Diceros bicornis minor: one gene and its partner. The protein of the gene in region 2 interacts with the protein of the main gene of each other region in a pairwise test. Links are inferred from orthologs where the notes say so. Each region holds a gene or a part of one and is shown on either strand. Other genes may lie near its edges.

Evidence for each region.
Region 1: the proteins of SWSAP1 (region 2) and ZSWIM7 interact in binary tests that used the Homo sapiens proteins (3 or more experiments, as listed by UniProt). The link is inferred for Diceros bicornis minor from reciprocal best matches to the Homo sapiens genes SWSAP1 and ZSWIM7.

The regions. Positions count from the first base shown.
Region 1 is NC_080757.1:2,750,863-2,761,611, reverse strand, and holds the start of ZSWIM7 (zinc finger SWIM domain-containing protein 7), read right to left. Parts: upstream 4,496-10,749; 5' UTR 4,443-4,495; coding exon 4,352-4,442; intron 3,784-4,351; exon of another isoform or gene 2,142-3,783; coding exon of another isoform or gene 2,108-2,141; coding exon 2,086-2,107; intron 1-2,085. Other genes in the region: TTC19 (tetratricopeptide repeat protein 19, mitochondrial), read left to right, coding at 4,680-4,863, 4,949-5,076, 6,756-6,866, 7,321-7,359, 8,360-8,416, 8,738-8,799. UniProt on the Homo sapiens protein: Involved in early stages of the homologous recombination repair (HRR) pathway of double-stranded DNA breaks arising during DNA replication or induced by DNA-damaging agents. Required for meiotic progression, hence for fertility.
Region 2 is NC_080769.1:8,098,886-8,106,558, reverse strand, and holds SWSAP1 (ATPase SWSAP1), read left to right. Parts: upstream 1-5,034; coding exon 5,035-5,280; intron 5,281-5,872; coding exon 5,873-6,376; 3' UTR 6,377-7,024; downstream 7,025-7,673. UniProt on the Homo sapiens protein: ATPase which is preferentially stimulated by single-stranded DNA and is involved in homologous recombination repair (HRR). Has a DNA-binding activity which is independent of its ATPase activity.

The DNA.
Region 1 (10,749 bases), on a different chromosome or scaffold from region 2:
ATAAATAATACTCGATTATCCCTGTACATGTCCCTTGGTGTACATACATGAGAATTCTTCCTGGTTATGTAAGTAAAAGTAGAAATGCTGGGTCTTAGGATATATGCATTTTTAAATTTTAACAAGTGTTGCCAATAGCTTTCCACTGTGGAAAAGGCACTCCCATCAGCACTGAATGAGAGTTCTATTTTCTCCACATCCATACCAACACAGCATTATCAGACTTTTTCATGTCTGACCATCTGATGAGTGTTAAATTTGTACTTTTTGGATTAATAATAAAGGCTATCGAGCTGTTAAATGATATATCAGAAAAAATTTGATAGGTGGGAAAATTCTTATGTTAGGTGAGAAAGCTTAGGCATAAAATTGTATATTTAGAAACTCAATCATGTGAAAAAATTTTTTAAGAAAATCTACAGTTATCTCAAAATAAAATGTTTAATTTTTAAAAAAAGGCAATAAACTGAAATGTAACAGTGATTATCACTGGGTGGTATAATGTTGATGCTTTTTATGTTTTCTTTATTTTCCAAGAACATTTTTTTTAATGAGTATAGGTTATTTTTATAAACTGGAAAATAAAATGGCTGGGTTGAACTAAAATTGAAGAGTTAATGTTTTAAAGAACCCATAGGATTTTTACACAAAATAAGAAGACAGAACTACTAAGCCTTCAAAATTAAAATGTTCAACTTCACTTTCCAAGAAACTAGTCTCTTTATACAACAAACTATTTAAATGGGAAGAGTTTTTAAATTTTTTACATTAAGCATATTAAGACTGCCTATGGACAAAAAAAATAAAGAAATAAAACGTGGTGGTAACTTTATCAATCAGAGATAATCACCATTAACTTTAAAAACGGATCTAAAAAGAATTTTTTCAACCTGCTTTGTACACTTCATAACATATTATAAACATCTCTTGAATGCAATATTTTTTTATATCACTTTTAATGGTTACAAAGAATTCCATTGTAAAGATGAACTACTTTTACTTCCCCAAACTCTATCTTTGGATGAGAGTTTATCAAATCTAATTTGAATAACTAGATTGTTTCCAAGCTTTTTTTTTCCTACCATAAACAATACTGGATGCTCACTGTAAAATCTTTATGAACATCCATGATTACTTCCTTGGGATACATTCTTGTAAGTCATATTTCTGGGTCAAGGAATGTGTATGTTTTAAAGCGTCTATTGCCTGTTGCCAGATTACCTTCCAATTTACACTCCTACCAACAGGGTATCAGTTATCCTTTTCTCCACGTTCCTGTCAACATCTGGAACATTCTTACCAACATGTTTTCTGTGGTAGTCAGTTTTATAGATGGAAAGGTTATCTCACTATTTTAATTTGTATTTTTATGATCACTAGTAAGATTCATCTTTTTTTCCCAAAGTTTTCAGTAATTTGCATTCTTTTATTTGCCAATTTTCTTTGTTTTATAAGTAGCTATTTTTTTCTAGTAATGTATAATCTTTGTAGAAAACTTCAGAAACAGAGAAAAGGTTAGAGCTCTTTTCTAAATTCCCCTCTTTCCTTCCCCCTAAGATAATCACTGGTATAGGCTGGTGTATATCCTCCTGGACTTTTAAATATAAGTGTATATATGCAATTAAATGTCATTTATCCCTAAGTAGCTTTCACTTTTTTATTGCTATTGAGAAAGTAATTATATTTTTGAACTTTGTGTATGAAAGAAAATGATTTTTAATTTCTGTATTTTAAAAAAATAACTTTATCCTCTTGGTTTTTAAAAAATAGTTATATCATCTACAAATAATAACTGTCTTTCCTTGCAGACAGGTATACTTCTAATTTTTCATGTGTTAGTGTAACAGCTACAACTTCTAGAACAATGTTAAACAAAAGTGGCATAGGACAATATGGGAATGCCTTGTACTGTCAAATATGGTGTTGGCTATTCACTTGAGACAGATTTTTAACAATCATGTCAAGAAAATATTGTTCCTAGTTTAGTAAGAATATTTTCAAAAATCAAGAGTTGATGTTGAAAGGATTTGGCTTTTAAAATACATTAATGGTTAAAAAAACAAATATGACAGCATATGTACTTACGATAAAAGATGTTCATCAGGAACTGTAAAACAGGAAATGGAAAGAAAGTTAATCATGTTAAACCAGTGACCACAGACATAAAAATCTTAAAAAGACTATAACTAAAAAGACTTTTGTGTAAGATGGTGAATTGAGCCTGTGCACCTAATTTTACTCCTTCCCAATATTCCACTAAACAACAGTAGAGGGATTTGTTTTAAAAAGCCTAAACTCCCAAGGATGAGAAAGACAGGGAGACACAACAGCTAAGATACACTGGAAAATAATTTACAAGACCTGAGAAAATTGAATCCTAAGCCAGCAATGGTGAGAGCTAAGCAACAACCTGATTACATTCCAGAATCCACTCTCCCACCCAAAAAAAAAAAAAAAAAATCCCTCAGCAACTGGTGGCACCAGATAGCTCTGGAGCAAGGGATGAAGCAGGGGGGCTAAAATAAGAAAGACTCTTTTAAAATAAGTTTAAGAAGCTAGAAGGTACTGGAATAATGCTTTCAGATGGCTGAAGAAGTATTATTTCCAACACATGATTCAAAACCTAGCCAAACTATCAATTAAGTGTGAGAACAGAAAAAGAACTTTTCCAAACATGTAAAGCCTCTAAAAGTACATCTCATGTCCTCTTCTTCAGGAAGGTTCTAGAGTATGAGCTCTATAAAATAAGATAGTAAACTCATAAAAAGAAAATTGTAGGATATACTCAACATAAGGCTCAACATAGGCAAAGGAAATTCCCAGGATAATAATGGTGAAGAGATCTCAGGAGATAGCGGGGAGAGCAGCTGGTCCATCATCAGAGTAACTCAGAAGGCTCTAGGAGAGACTTCTACAGGAAAACGAAATTGATGAAACATTCACTTGAACATCTTGAGTAGGGATCTACAACACTGGTAAAGAGTTTGAGGTTGAATTACGGATAAATATGTAGAAAACTAAACAAGCAAACACACACAACCACGACAGTTATTAATTCCAGGGAAAACAAAAAGTTATGCAGGAAAGGAAAAGTGAATCATAGCTTCCTACATGGCTCAGCTGTAACTAGACTTTACCTCCTCATACAAGTGTAAACTCAGGATCTTGATCTAAAAAAACTACCATCGACGGATGGGGGTCAGGAACAGTGTATCACTATCTACAACCAAGACTTTAAAATAGCAGAAAGCGGTTCTGCTGAAAATAAACATCAATCAACGGCAGCAGTCCCTCGGTCTGAGCCACGAGCACCAGCGGCACCCCTCAAGGCTGTCACGGTGTACGGATTAATCCACTCGGACAGGGCCCGCTTCTGTCAATCACTGTGGGAGCCACATCAGACTGGCTTTCCCCCAGCCTCGCTGGGGTCAGAACGTGTTTGAACACCTGGCTGGCCTAATCTTCCAAGCACGTATACTGTGTTAGTTTGAACTGGAACGAAAAAACAAGTTGGCTTACTCTTCTCAATCCTCTGAAAACACTAAAAGTCAAGATAAACCCTTTCAAAGTGCAGTCGTTTCAACACAAGAGCCATCCACGCGAATAAGCAGTGGCCGTATTGAGGCCTAATCTGCTATTTGTTAAACGGCCACTTTTACACCGGTGGGTAGTTCTAAGCAGTCGGTGCATTTTGATTACACGTATCCTCTTGATACTAGTACGCTGCGAACACATCTTGAGACCAGCTCGGTGCTTCTGGTGAGCGCGGTCTCACAGCATCCTCTGCTGGTCGGAGGAAAGAAAAGGTACTTTCACAGTATCCAGATTTACTCGTCACTGCGTATGCATTTTGGGTTTCTGGCCCTAAAATATTTACTTGCTGAACAAGGCGTATGAGAGAATTAATTTTAAAGTTAACATAAGATCCTGAGGGAAAACGCCTGCAGGCAACTTGAACAATTCAGAACTTCACCTCTCTGTAAGTCCGCGTGGGCTCCGGGCCCTCCGCGCTCCGGCCCGGGGCCCCTTCACACGCGTCCTCTGGCCGCGCTCGGCACCTCCGTCCCGGGCTCCCCACTGGCCTGCTCTCTCCCTGAGGAGGGGCCGCAGGAGGAACCGCGCTGTGCCCTCAACACTTCCACCTTTTCTTATCCTTTGTTTTTTTTGTTTTACGACTAGGAGGTCTGGCCACTGAACCACACCACAAAAGAGCACGGAGGGGCCAGGGCTAGAGCGCGGGGCCGGGGCCCCAACCCAGCGCCCGCAGGCCGAAACCCCGGCCTCTCGCCCCCCGCCCGGCGGGGCGAGTCCGCGGCCCACGACGCAGCTACACACGCCCTCAGGCCCGTACTTCGCGCGCTCTCCCGCACTGCCGCGGCCATCTCGCTTAGAAGTTCCTCCACCACAGCCGGCAACGTGACCGCCGGCAAGGCAACAGCCATGGCGCTTACAGGCGGCGGCCTCCTCAGGAGGACTAGCCGGCGCGACGCTGCGACAGACGCGCGGGGAATTGCCGCCGCCAGCCGGGGCGGGGCGAGGCGCGGTGACGTCACGTGCGTTATCGCGCAAGCGGGCGGTGACGATGACGCCTCCTACCAATCCGGCGGGAGCTGGGCGCCGGGGTCGGGACGTCCCGCGCTCCGGCCGGGCCTGCAGTGCGCAGAGGACGCGGCGTGAGCATGTACCGACTGCTGACCCAGAGCCTAGGCCGAGGTCTCCTGCGGACCGCTGGGCGGCGGTGCCGGGGCTGGCCGGCGCGCCCGCTCCTGGGGCCGGCAGGAGGCCGGCTGCCCGAGGTGGAGGTGCCGGCCTCCCGAGTCGCGCCGCCCGGCCGGGGTCCGGGCCTGCTGCCGCTGCTGGCAGGTGAGAGGCGCGGGCGGGGCGGGGCCGTCTGGGCCGGGGTCGGGGCGCGGGCCGGGCCCGGTGACCTCAGAGCGCCTTCCCGCAGCCCTCTCCTGGTTCTCGAGGCCCGCTGCGGAGGAGGAGGAGGAGCGGCGGGGAGCGGGCGGGGCCGCCGCCGGGGACGCGGCGGACGAGGCCGAGGCCGAGATCATCCAGCTGCTGAAGCGAGCCAAGGTGAGGCGGCCCGGGTGCGCGAGCCTGGAGGCCTTGTCGATGCGCATTCCTCTCTCGTTTACCCAGGACTCGGTGGAGGCTCCGAGGGTAGACTACCCGGAATTAGATGGGTCATGGGGGCGGGGGTTAGGATCCACCTAGGCTCGTCAGACTCTAAAGCCTGCAGTGAAACCGCTGCAGTCTCGGCTGGAAATGGAGATGGCACCACAGGCATCGGCCTTTTATCCAAACAAAATTTGCAGAAGTGTTTTGTAGTTGTTTTTATCAGTGAACCTGCCAAGCTGAAAGGACTGGCATAGAGAATTTTGCACGTATGTAGCGTCCTGAAAATGCAGTTTAGTGTTGGTTATGCGCGGTTTGGTTCTGTCTTTTTAAACTCTTCCTTTTGTCCACAATCATTTCTATTTTTTCTTCTCCTCCCCAGGTTATCGCATCTCTTCCATTGTACTAACAACCGCCTCCAGGCCAGCCAACAACGTCCAAATTATATATTCCCATACTGCAGTGTGCTCCTGCCATGCCGTCCCCACTTTGAGGTCCCTCCTACCTCTCGGACTTAACCTGTCCGAAGCTAAACTCTTGATCTTAAATGCCTCCCCGACACATTCCTTCACCATCTTCTCTTTACTACTGTCTACCCAGTTTTTCAGCCTGGAAACCTCACAGTCATTCTTAAAACTTGTGGTACCTTACCATCGCCTCCCAGTTCACTTACAGTCCAGCAACAAATCCTGTTGCCACCAAATCCAAGATATTTCTCAAGTCTGCCCCCTTTTCTGTCTCTCCTGCTGTCACTCTACTGTTGCTGCAGCCCACTATCTAGTAGTCTTGTCTGCTCTGTTGCTCCGCCCTTACAATTCATTCTCCATGCAGCAGCTAGAGTGATTTTTTTAAAATGTAAGTCAGACCATATCACCTCCTTGCCTAAAGATTTTGAATGACTTCCCTCTGCATTTATGGTAAAATCTAAACTCTTATGCCATGGCCTGCAGGACCCTACATGGTCTACACCACCCTGCCTTGCTTGCCCGTTTGGCAATAATCCTGTGGCTCACCATCCTCACTTCACATCTGTTTCCTTTCATTTCTTGAATGGTTCTTGAAGAACCATTCTCTTCAGCCTCTAGGGCCTTCACTCATTCCCTGCTCTCTGTTTGGGTCATTTTTCCCCATAATTCCTTATTTGGCTGACTCTCATCCTTCCTACTTCAGTTTAACTGTCACTCCCTTGGAAGGCTTTTCTGACTTCCGTTTAGAGGAGACCCCTTTTTGTTCCTTTCCATTGTTTTTCATTATAGCTCCTATCATTAGTTGTAATTAAGCTTACTTGTCCTACAGGGTCATTTCCATCTTGCAGGAAGAGAGAAAGAGGATGTAGGGCAAGCAGCTTCCTTATAAAATATGGTATAAAGATTGCTCATATTCCTGCTGCCTGCATCTGTTGGCCAGAACTTTGTCATATGGCCACACATAGCTGCAACAAAAGCTGACCACCTCTGTCACTATTATAGACATAATGCCTGGTGCATAGTAGGAATTCAGTAAATATTTGATGAATGAATGAATAGCTTCCTTGTATGTATTGGAGTGTATAGGCATATCCGATTCTGTCTGGTAGCACATGCATCTGCTTTCTTTACATTTCATTTCCTATTATTTTCTTTGTTTTTTCTTTTCAGTTGAGCATCATGAAAGATGAGCCAGAAGAGGCTGAGCTAATTTTGCATGACGCTCTTCGTCTTGCCTATCAGAGTGATAACAAGAAGGCCATCACTTACACTTATGATTTGGTAACTCTTCTAACCAATCTGAGTCCCTGATGATGAAAGATAGATGCAAGAGAAGAGTTTTTAGCTCTCCTGATTTATATTCCTGACCTTCAGGATGTCCTAAAACGCTTTGGTTTTTTGTTTTACTAAGTTTTCTTTTGGTTTCAATTTTTATTACCCTTGGGGTGTCACTTATAAGAAGTCTCAAACCCAGATCAAATTTGACAATATTTGTTTCTTCAGCAATGAGTGGATTTAGATTTGGTTTGTCATCAGCAGAGTGTATGTATATCCAGGTGTTTACTCTCACACTGTTGCTGAACTTTGCTGTTAGCAGATTAGTGACATACTTCTTTCTCTGAACTATTTTTTTATTTAGAGGGTAAAAGCAAAAAGGAATCTTTAGCTTGAAGATTTTGAAGTAAGTAGGAACACAGTGCTCTAAACTGAAAAACAATTTGTAATTTGCTTTCAGATGGCCAACTTAGCATATATACGGGGTCAGCTTGAAGATGTAAGTAAGTAAATTACTTCGTAATATTTTGAATAATATTGAATTTATGAAGGAGTAGCCTTAAGGGAACTTTATTAATAAGGCTATGGGCTAAGCTGCTGTAGCAAAGAGACTCCAAAATAGAGGGACTGAAACGAGAAGGAGGTATATTTCTCTTTAACGCGTTAGTCCAGAGGTAGCTAACACTGAAGAGGGATAGGTACCTCTGCTCCATGAAATGGTCCAGAAGCCCAGGTTCCTTCTAAGATATGTCCTCATCTACATAGGTGAGCTAGCTCACCTCCAGCCTGCAGGAAGGAAGAAAGAGAGGATGGAGGGCAAGAAGCTTTCTTATAAAATATGATTTAAAAATTGTTCACATTTTCTTCTGTCTTCATCTCTTGGCCAAAACTTCATCATACGACCACACCAAACTGCAAAGGATGCTGACCTATTAAAAATTGAGGAGATTCTGTAACTAAAAAGATGGAGAGGAGAGTGACTATTAGGGAATAGTTTGCAGTCTCTGCCACAGTGGGTTTGGATGAAAAGTTAATTTCTGAAGTTGGTTTCTACTCATCACAGAATAGTTTGTAAGGTGCCCAGAGGACGTGGGATCCTGGAATTTTATTCTTTTTTCCCATCACAAGGGCACTTTGTGTGTATATGAGTGTGTATATTGTGCTTTACAAGGAATGATGCATCAGACTAGTACTTAGAATCCAGAGTCATATAGATATTGGGGGCCAAGTGAAAAAAAAATCTTGGGCCGGCCCAGTGCCATAGCCATTAAGTTCGCATGTTCTGCTTCGGTGGCCTGGAGTTTGCCGGTTTGGATCCTGGGCACGGACCTACTCACTGCTCGTCAAGCCATGCTGAGGCGCTGTCCCACAGAGAAGAGCTACAGCTGTACAACTATGATACACAACTATGTGCTGGGGCTTTGGGGAGAAAAAAGAGAAATATGTTAACGCAGGGCCAATCTTCCTCAACAAAAAAAGTCTTTTCCTTATGCTTTTAGGCAGAAAAACTTTTTAAAGCAACAATGAGTTACCTGCTTGGAGGGGGCATGCAACAGGTAAGGACGTTGCCTAGGATTGGGCTGTAGCTGAAGCAGTTTTCACAATAATCTTGCTTCCTGAAAACTCCACCCAGTCCCCAACATGTGCTTTGGCCAAAAAAGGTGGATTTTTTTTCCCCCAGGACCTATATAAAAACTGCCAGTCTTTCACTCATGCAAAAGCATGGTAGCTGAGGAATTCAAAGTTGGCTAAATCTGGCTAAATCCTCCTAAAGGATAAAGACGTTCAGGCCAAAGTCAGTCTAGAAGTTGATCTGAAATATTCTTGAGGGAATTTTACTTGTCATGAATATCCTTCATTTTTCTTTCTCCCAACAGGAAGACAATGCAGTCATTGAAATCTCTCTAAAGCTGGCCAGTATCTATGCTGCTCAGAATAGGTAAGTATAGTCAGAATCTAGGTGTGGCAGCAGCGAGGGGGTAGGGCTGTGGGCAGAAATCTTTGCCTGTTGGATGTTTTATAATTTTCATTTACCTACTACTACTAATCATCTGGGTCTCCAAAAAATTGGATGTCACACTCAAGGTGTTCCCTCCCTCATCTCTGGAATCTTCATCTTTTCCAGTTTTGCCCCTGCTGTTTCCATTAGCCTGCTGAGTGGGGCAGAAAGCCCTCACACCTCTGGCTCACTGTGACAGAGCTAATTAAGTTTTCTGTTCCGTGTTGAAGTGGGGCGGGAAGTTATAGGCAGAACTTTAGTTTAGCTCTTCCTTGAAGAGGAGGGAACAATGTAGAGGCTGCTGGGGATAATATACTTTAAAGAAACCATTTTGCTGATATAAGTGTCAACAAACCAGGAAGTTAGGCATAAAGTTAAATGATGAGAGAGTTGCTGTGGGAGTGTCTCAGTGGCTAGTTGAGTGGGCAGTGTTTTTAAAGCATGTAGAGATGATCAGGTAGCTAGGTTTTTTGGAAGGGGAAATATCTAGGAGTAAAAGACCTTTGGGTAAGTAGGACAGGAAGTCGGTGCTAATTTAAAAGTATTAGATGAGTCTAAATTTGTGTAAAGAAGAAAACACCTGCCAGCTACACAGGAAAAGCTTTAGAAAACAATTTGGATGTGTGCCAAAGATCAGGAATACTGATGAGTGAGGCCTGGTGCCTTTCATTCTCTCTGGGTGGAGTTCAAAGGAGAAACAGGTAGGATGTAAGCAGAGAACTCCTCTAGAGATTTGTATTTTCAGATGATTTTTTTTTCTTTTGTGAGGAAGATCAGCCCTGAGCTAACATCTGATGCCAGTCCTCCTCTATTTTGCTGAGGAAGATTGGCCCTGGGCTAACATCTGTGCCCATCTTCCTCTACTTTATATGGGACGCCACCACAGCATGGCTTGACAAGTGGTGTGTCGGTGCACACGGGGGATCCGAACCTGCGAACCCTTGGGCTGCCGAAACGGAGCATGCGCACTTAACTGCTGTGCCACCGGGCCGGCCCCTTGGGTGAATTTAAGGGAAGACCTAAGAGTAGCTTTTCCTTAGGTTTTTAGTTACTGCAGAAGTTGGATACCAGAGGTTTTGAATGACATCAAGCCTAGTGCTCCAGAAAGAGTGCTCGTTGAGGCCAAGGGTCCTGGCACTGGTCTCTGCTCCCTTAGTCACCAGCTCCTTCATTCTTAGCAGGACCCACTTAGTCTCCCTGCATTTGGTTGGACACCAGATAAGCTAGAGCTTCTGAGGGCCTTGGACTTTAAGTCTTTCGAGGAGCTTTGAGGTTGGGCGTGTCAGGAGCATTGCAGCTGGGATCAGTCTCCCTTGGAGGAGTAACAAACAGGACTAGATGTTGATGTGGTATGAAATTCTAGGATAAGAAGCTCAAAGCTAATAACACTGGAGAGAAAGACATTCATGGTCTTATAGAGGTGAAAGCTTGTGTAATAGCCACTAATAATTAGCCTCTAAGTTACTCTATACTCTCCTCAAAAGTGTTTTTTCATTTTGTTTTATTAAGAGAAGCATGAGACCAGAAAATATATGGCCAGATCTTCAGACTTAGAAAGGCTGATTAGTTAGGAGGGGAGTTGTTTCTAGACATTTTGCTCTGACTAGGAGCATCTTGTGGGCAGCCTGCCCTTGCTCCATGTCCTGGCTGAATAGGGTCCTCCTGCCAAGCTTTGGGTCTTGGGAAGCTTCGGTTCTTCTGAGAACAGACTAAAACTGTGGGGTCATCTGTTCTCCCCTGGCAAAGCACCAGGAGAAGGGGTAAGCTTTGTAGTGCCACTTCTGGTAAAAAACTAGAGCCAAAACGGAAGAGCAAGAACCAGGGCTGAGCTTCTGGATGGAGAAGGAATTTCTGTCATGTTTCTGTGCATCTCTTTGTAGAAACCAGCAG
Region 2 (7,673 bases):
AGCCAATGGGAGCCCCCAGTTCTCAGAATTCTAACCAAAAGGAGTTTCCAGCAGCCAATGGGAGCCTCCCTCTCACTTCTTAGAATCCTTAGACAAGAGGGCAACTCCGGCCAGTGTTGAGCGTCTGAACATGGAATAGGAGTCCTTGGTTTTCAGAATTTCTAGGGTGGGTGGGTATGATACCAGTCAATGGGGGACCGCCCATGGCCAAGCACGTGCAAGGGAGAGGAGGGAGATGGGGTCATCCTTTGTCATCGGGTGCTCTCTCCTCAGTATCAGAGAGTCCAGCCAGAGGGTGGGGGGCAGGATCCCCCGCAGCGGGGACCTCGGGGCACCCGTTCCCCCTAGCCCCTCCCCCACATGTACCCTCTCCCCCAGTCCCTCCTAACTCCCTCCTTATGCAGGGCTTGCCCCAGTTCAAAGGTTTTGGGGTTCAGGGTGCTGTGTGTCTTCTTGCCTGTGTCCACGTCACCCCAAACCCTTTTGTTATTTATTACGGCTGTGGGAAAGGACTTTTTTTTTTCTTGGAACCCACCCCTCTTCTTCACACTGCCCCCCATGCCTCAGCCTCCTGCAGCTGTGCCATCATAGGGGGCATGGGTGGAGCAGAGAGGGCTCCCCCTCCCTGGGCACTCAAAGGCAGTGGGCAGAGGAGACACTGCCCCCCTTTCCTGCCCTCTCCTTATCTTTAATAAAGACCTGTTTGTAACAGAAGTGTGGCCACCTGTCTTCCTCTCCCAGGTGGCGAGATGTGGAGGACTTAAATCTGCGTCTGGGTGTCTGTGGGGCTGGGTGGGGGTGTATTGTCCCAGTGTGTCCGAGGGCGATTGTGGAGAGACAGTGTGGAGTCGTGGGGCTAGCGACTTGGGTTTAAATCCTGGCTCAGCATTTCCTGGTTGTGTGGCCTCAGGAAAGTTAATTAACCTCTCTGTGCCCTTGTTTCTTCATCTGTCGATGTGAACGGCCCCACAAGCCACACGTGAGGCTCACGGTGATGGGCCTCACGTGACTGTCTTCCCCTGGCAGCTGGCCTGCTTCTGGCCACAGCCAGGGTGCAGAGGGCATAGGGTGACGGGACCCTGAGGGTCCTGATAGCAAAGGGGGATGCTGAGGGCACTAGGAACCTCTAGCTGAACCCCTGGCTGCAGGGATGAGAGCAGGGGTTCTGATTGTGAGCTTGTGCTGAGTCCCAACCGTTGAGGGCCCAACAGAGACCAGGGAGGGCAGGAGGGGCAGGGAGTCACTGACCCCGCCCCCCACGGCTCTGCGGGGCTTCAGACAGGCAATTCAGGGCACAGAGTCATCCAGGAACCAGGAAAGGGGAGTCTGCTTCCCTTCCCCCTCATTCGTTCATTCAACAAACACTGCAGAGCACCTACTGTATGGTGCTGTTTCGCTAGGCACAGGCGCTAAGACACAAATTCCTGCCCTCACAGAGCTCGCATTCTAACATGTGAGAGACAGACAATAAACAAGATAAATAAGTTTTATACAGAGCCACAATCCTAAATCTTAAAAAGGTCTGACAACCAAAAATTGTTTTGTAACTCATTTGTGCATGAGGTTATGTGAGGCTGATATGAGGTTATGTGTAGCTCTTATTTATTTAACATGTGAATATTCTTGTTTTGCTGCAGATAAAGCGTTTGATTTGGGGATGTTATCCTAGGACCCACTAGGGGCTTATGCAATACATAGTATTTACACGACAGTACCTTTTGAAAATCTGAATAAGTCTGAATTCCAAACTCTAAGATCAAGGATTTAGGTCAAGGATTGGGATCTCTGATATGTTGAATATTGATAAGTGGTAAGGAGAAAATTCAAGCTAGAGAAGGCAATGGGGCAACTATGGGATGGGGACACGGTTTGCAACTTAAAGAGGATGATCAGGGTCCTTGTCTCTGAAGTGATGGCGCTGGAGATGAGGTGTGAAGGTGGAGAGGGAAGGAGACATGAAAACATCAGGGGTGGAGGGAGAAGCGTTCCAGGCAGAGGGGAGAGCAAGCACCAAGGCCCTGAGGTGGGAACGTGCCTGCTGTGGTCCGGGAGGTGAGGACACCCGTGTGGCTGGAGGGGAGTGAGCGAGGGGGAGGTGATGGTGCTGATGTGGGGCACGGGGAAGGAGATGGGAGCATGAGAGGGCTGGAGGCAGAGGAAAGAGAGAATCCGCTTCACCGACCAGAGCTCCTATTTCCAGGGGTCGCATCCCTGAGACCCATGGTCCCCCTGTCGTACAGCTGCCTCCACGCGGGCCAGGAAAGAAGCAAAACTTCAGCACGGCGGACAGCGCCTCCTGGCCAGCCCACCTGGCGCTGTCCATGGTTCTGATGTTAAACGGGGGCCAAGAAAGGGTAAAGTGGGGGCTAGAGAGGGTGGCGACAGCAGCCCTGGCCTTGCCCACACCCCCATCCCAGGATGGATAATGTCAGGTAGAGAACCCAGACTAAGGTGTACTTGCTTATTCAAAAACCTCATCAACGTGCCCCCGTGGGGGTCTCACATCTTAAACTCAACTCGATCGAATCTGAGCTCCAGTTTAGGAAGTAAGTCAGACCATGATCCTCTTTTGCTCAAACCCTCTCATGGCTCCCCATGGCACTCTAAGTAAAAACCAAAGTTCTCCCGATGCCTCAGGGCCTTTGCACTTGCCAGTGTCTCCATCTGGAATGCTCTTCCCCCACATTTCTGCATGGTTCACTCACCTCCTTTAAGCCTTTTCTCAAATGTCACCTTCTCACTGAGGCCTGTCCCTGCCACCCTATCCAAAATGTCAAAAAAAAAAACAAAACTGGCCCTTCTGACTTCCCTCCCCTCTGCAAACTTTTTTTGGCATACATTTATCATCTGCTCATAGACTATTTAAACTGATTTGGCACACAGTAGGTGCTCAATAAGTGTCTGCTAAATGAATGAACTAATCACTCAGGATGCTGATAAACCAGGAAGAAGCACAGACTGGCCCTGAGCTGTCCACTTCCCGGTCCCCTCATCCTTCAGTCCTCCTCCTCCGGGAAGCCCCTCTATGGCAAGGGTCCTACTGTCAGGATATGAAGATGGGATTCTGAGAAGTGAGAGAAAGAAGCACTGTGTGCATGAGAGATATGCCAAACACCTGCATCTCTGCCAGTGTACCCACTCAGCCTACATTTATGAGCACCTACTGTGTGCCAGGCCCTGTTCTAGGCACTGGGGACCCAGCAGTGAACAAAACAGAGACCCTATCCTGGTGGATATGACATTGTAGTCAGGAGAGAGGCAATAAAACCCAAATAAAAATACATAACGTTGGAAGGGTTAAGTTATTCGAAGAGAAATAAAAATGGAGACACAAAGAATGAAGGGTGTGCGATTTTACACATGTGGTCAGGGAGAGCCTCTCTGAGTAGGTGATATTCGAGCAGAGATCTGAATGGAATGGGAAAATGAGCCACAGGGATATCTTCGAGCTGAGGGCTCTCAGCAAGGGAACAGCGAGTGCAGTGGGGCTGTGTTCAGCATGCTCCCGTGTATGCGACTGTGCGGGACTGTGTGACACGGGTGTCCTTACTGAGTGCTTGTGCATTTGGGGTGTTGCAAAGTGAGGGGTTGTGCATCTTTTGGGGGGGCTGAGGCGGTGCGTCTGACAAGGCAGTATAACAGTGTACCGTGTGTGTGTGTGTAAAGAGCTGTAGGCACATCAGCTGAAAGGAAACGTGACTATGTGTGTGTAGCGGCAATGGTATGGTTGTATTAGAGTGTGTTCTGGCGTGTGTGCAAGGGAAGGGATGTGGGGCATGAATGTGGGAGAGAGTGTGTATGGGATGCTTCGTGTCAGGGTAGGACAGGGCTGCGAGCATGTGGGTGATGGGATTCTGGAAGCAGAATATATACAGAGATGCCGTGGTGTGTGTGTGTGTGTAGAGTGGTGTGGGGGTGCCGGCTGTGTGAGTGGGTGGATTGGGGGATGTTGTGGAGCTGTGTTCTGGCCCCAGAGGGAGAGAGAAAGCCCAGGAAATCTCAGTTCGCCTTGCCCCTGGGTCTCCTGGCAACGGCACCACTTTGAAGTTACCAAGAGACAGAGTTGCCAGGGCAACAGGGGCGTGAGTGGCAGCTCTGGGGCGAAGTCTGGGTGAGGAGACCCAGCCAGCGATCACTCGATCGCTCACCTTGTTCCTCCTTCTCTCCCAGTTTCTCATCAATCCCACCTTCCTTTCTTCATTCATTTACTTAATGAGCACATGTTGAGGATCTACAATGAGCTAGTCACTGTTCCGGGCGCCGGAGATACCGAAATGAGCAAGACAAACAAGATCCCTGCCGTGGCTCTCCCTCAGTCTCCCCGGCCCTGTCTCTGTGTTGCCCAGTGCCTTCTTTGGTCTATGGTCTTGCCTTCCCCCGTACCCCGAGCAGGACCCAAGGAACCCCCAGGGCAATGAGGAAGACAGTTGAGAGCCCTCTCCTCACAGCCCCTCAGAGATGGCTGCTGCTGTTTTGCACACGAATGTCGCCAAGCCTGCAGCCCCAGACACACACTTGTGCGGGTACTCGGGTGCAGAGAGACACGAGCACACAGCTCATCCATCCCTCCACTTCTCCATTGTCACTGGGTGACCTCAGCGGAAACACACACAGACACATGCCCATCACGATATTCCTCTGAGACATCAGGAGCTCCATTTTACAGGTGAGCAAACTGAGGCTAGGAGACTTTAAATAATATGTCAGCGATTAGGGCTTGCTCCCTCCAACTCTCAACCCTTTTATCTGTCTGATTAGCTGACTAGTTCAAAATAATAGTATTCGTGCTGCTTCCCTCAGCAGCTCACCTAAGGGAAGGAAGAGCCTTTTCTCCCTCAAACGCCCGCATTCCTCCTCCCTCAGACTAGGCGATTTGCCGCTTCACCAGGGGAGGAGCTAGCAAAAGCCGATCTACCGTTGATGGACAGATCCATGCACCAGTGGAGACGCTAAATGCGCTGTAACCAATGATGCCTCGTCTTGGGCGGGATTAAGGGCAGGAACGGCCGCCGATTGGACAGAGTTACATTCCGAATGGCGGAGACGCTGAGGCGGGTGCTAAGCCGGGGCAGCGCCGCCGGGTCCGGGGAGAACACAGCCGAGGCTGGGCCGCCTTTGCTGCTGCTCGGCGGTCCCGGCTCTGGAAAGACAGCGCTGCTATTCGCGGCGGCCCTGGAGGCGGCAGGGGAGGGCCGAGGGCCCGTCCTCTTCCTGACCCGGAGGCCTCTGCAAAGCCTGCCTCGCGGGACGGGGGCAGCGCTCGACCACCTGCGCCTGCAGGTAACCGAGGGCGGGATCAGAGGCGGGCCAGCCAGTGGCGGGGCGGATCGACGATTGAGTGACAGGTAGACAGACCAATGGCGGGGACGAAGGGAGGACGAGCCGGAGCAGCCATTTTGGGGCGGAGTCAGGAACGAGCCGGGGGGGGGGACCATGCGAAGTTTAGTTAAGATTGACTGAAATGCCGTCCAATGATGGAGCGGAGTTAGCGAAAGGGTGGAGTCAGGGGCGAGCAAGGGGCGGGGCTAAGCTTAGGTCTAGCCTGGACACGAGTTGGTACCAGTGGAACTGAGTCAATGGTGGGGTCACACTGGGGACGCCACGGGTGGGTTTTCCGTGGAAAGACTGCCCTAGAGATTTGGCAAAAAGACACACCTGTTTTCAGCTAATACCAGGCAGTGATGAGTGCTGGATAATAAGAGGGGGAGAGGGCAAAAGAATATTGGATCACTGTGAACTGCTTCACTCTGGTACCAGCTGTCCGGGCAGTGAGCGCCTTGTCCAGGAAATTATGCAAGGAAGCGGGGCTGCTATAGCTGGGAATCTGGCTTCCTGTGCTGAATCTGGCCCTTTCCTTCTTTTCTCCCTCTAGAAGATCCGCCTCCAGTACCCACCCTCGACCCGTGAGCTTCTCCAGCTCCTGTGCTCTGCTCATGAGGCCCGGGGGCCAGCCCCCTCCCTCCTGCTGCTCGATGGCCTGGAGGAGTACCTAGCTGAAGACCGGGGGCCCCAGGAAGCCGCCTACCTGGCTGCCCTGCTTCTGGACACAGCTGCCCACTTTAGCCACCGAATTGGGCCTGGTGGTGGCTGTGGGCTCATTGTGACCCTCCAGACCCAGGAGGAGGGAGACATTGGGGACGCCCTGCAGCTGTCACTGCTCCAGCGGTATTTCCCTGCCCAGTGCTGGCTGCAGCCAGATGCACCAGGCCCAGGACAGCACCGCCTCCGAGCCAGCCTGGAGCCAGGTGGGCTGGGCCCCAGGGCAGAGTGGTGGGTGACTTTCCGACCAGATGGAGAGATGACAGTCACCCCGTGGCCTACCCAGGCTGGCGACCCCAGCTCAGACAAGGGTTCAAGCTCTGGAGGGCAGCCTTGAGCTTTGGTATGTGACAACCTCTCTATGCCTTGGTTTCCTGTGTCTGGAATACTTCCCCCAGGGAAATGTGCAGATTCCAAGACCTAAAGAATGTAAAGTGCTTTTTCTCTTTTAAAAGTAGCATTACTGTGTACATATTATGCTCAATCAACATATTGTTTCGTTTTGCTATTTTGAACTTTATAAAAAGAGTTTCGTGATAAATGTAATCTTATGAGACTTCCTTTTCTCCCACTCAGCATCGTTACTAAGACTCAGCCACATTTTCTAGTGCATTCCTTTTTCCCTACTGGGTATAGTTCCAGTATACCCCAATTTAATCATCAGATTGACTTATTTACTGCTCTGAACATTCTTGCACACATGTCCTGGTGCATGTGTGTGAGAGTTTTTAGGGTATATACCTAGAAGTGGGATTCCTGGAGCAGAAGATATGCATATGTTCAGCTTTCCTAGGTTATATGAAACTTTAAAAAAATGATTAAACCAGAACTCCCATGGAGCCACTTGGTGACACTTAGTGTCATCAGAGTACTTTCTTTGAACAGGGCCTGTCACAGAATAAAGCCCTATGAATTAATGTTATTATTATTAGTGGCAGAGACAAGCTAGAGGTTCATGAAACAGCATTCCTCTGGATGCACAGCTAAACTACATTTCCCAGCAGTTTGTGGGACTAGCTGGGGGGGGGGGGTCACATGACTGTTTTTGGCCAGTGGGATTTATGAAGAAGAGATGGTACCCACTTCTAGGCTAGATTCCTAAAACGGCCCACAGAATCTTCTGCTGTCTCTCTCTTTGCTTGTTGGCTGGAAGGATACAGAGGATCCATCCAAAGATGTGAGGGTGGCCTTGAGGGATGGTGAAGCCACAGACCAGAAGAGTCTGGGCTTCTGACTCATCCCAGGGATGGCTGCCCACCTGCCTGAACTGAGATGTGAGAGAGAAACCATTTAATGTTAAGCCATGCAGATTTGGGAGTTGTTTGTTACGGCAGCTAGTATAACTTATACTGACTGATTCATTTTATTAGGATTATCATTCAGATTGCCAGGGCCAGAATTTCAGACTGAGCTCAAGGCTTTTTACTGCTGCCCCTATGGCCTGGGCCCAGGGACAGATGGGGCTTACAGGCCATTTGCAGAAGTCATGATAGAAAAACTTACATATATATATCTATACAAAGAACTATACATTTTAAAATACTGCAAGGTCGTGACTTCCTGAGCAGGAAGGATGGGGCAGAAAGCCAACGTCAGCAATGCCCCTAGTCCTGAGTGAGGCCTCGCCGACCCTG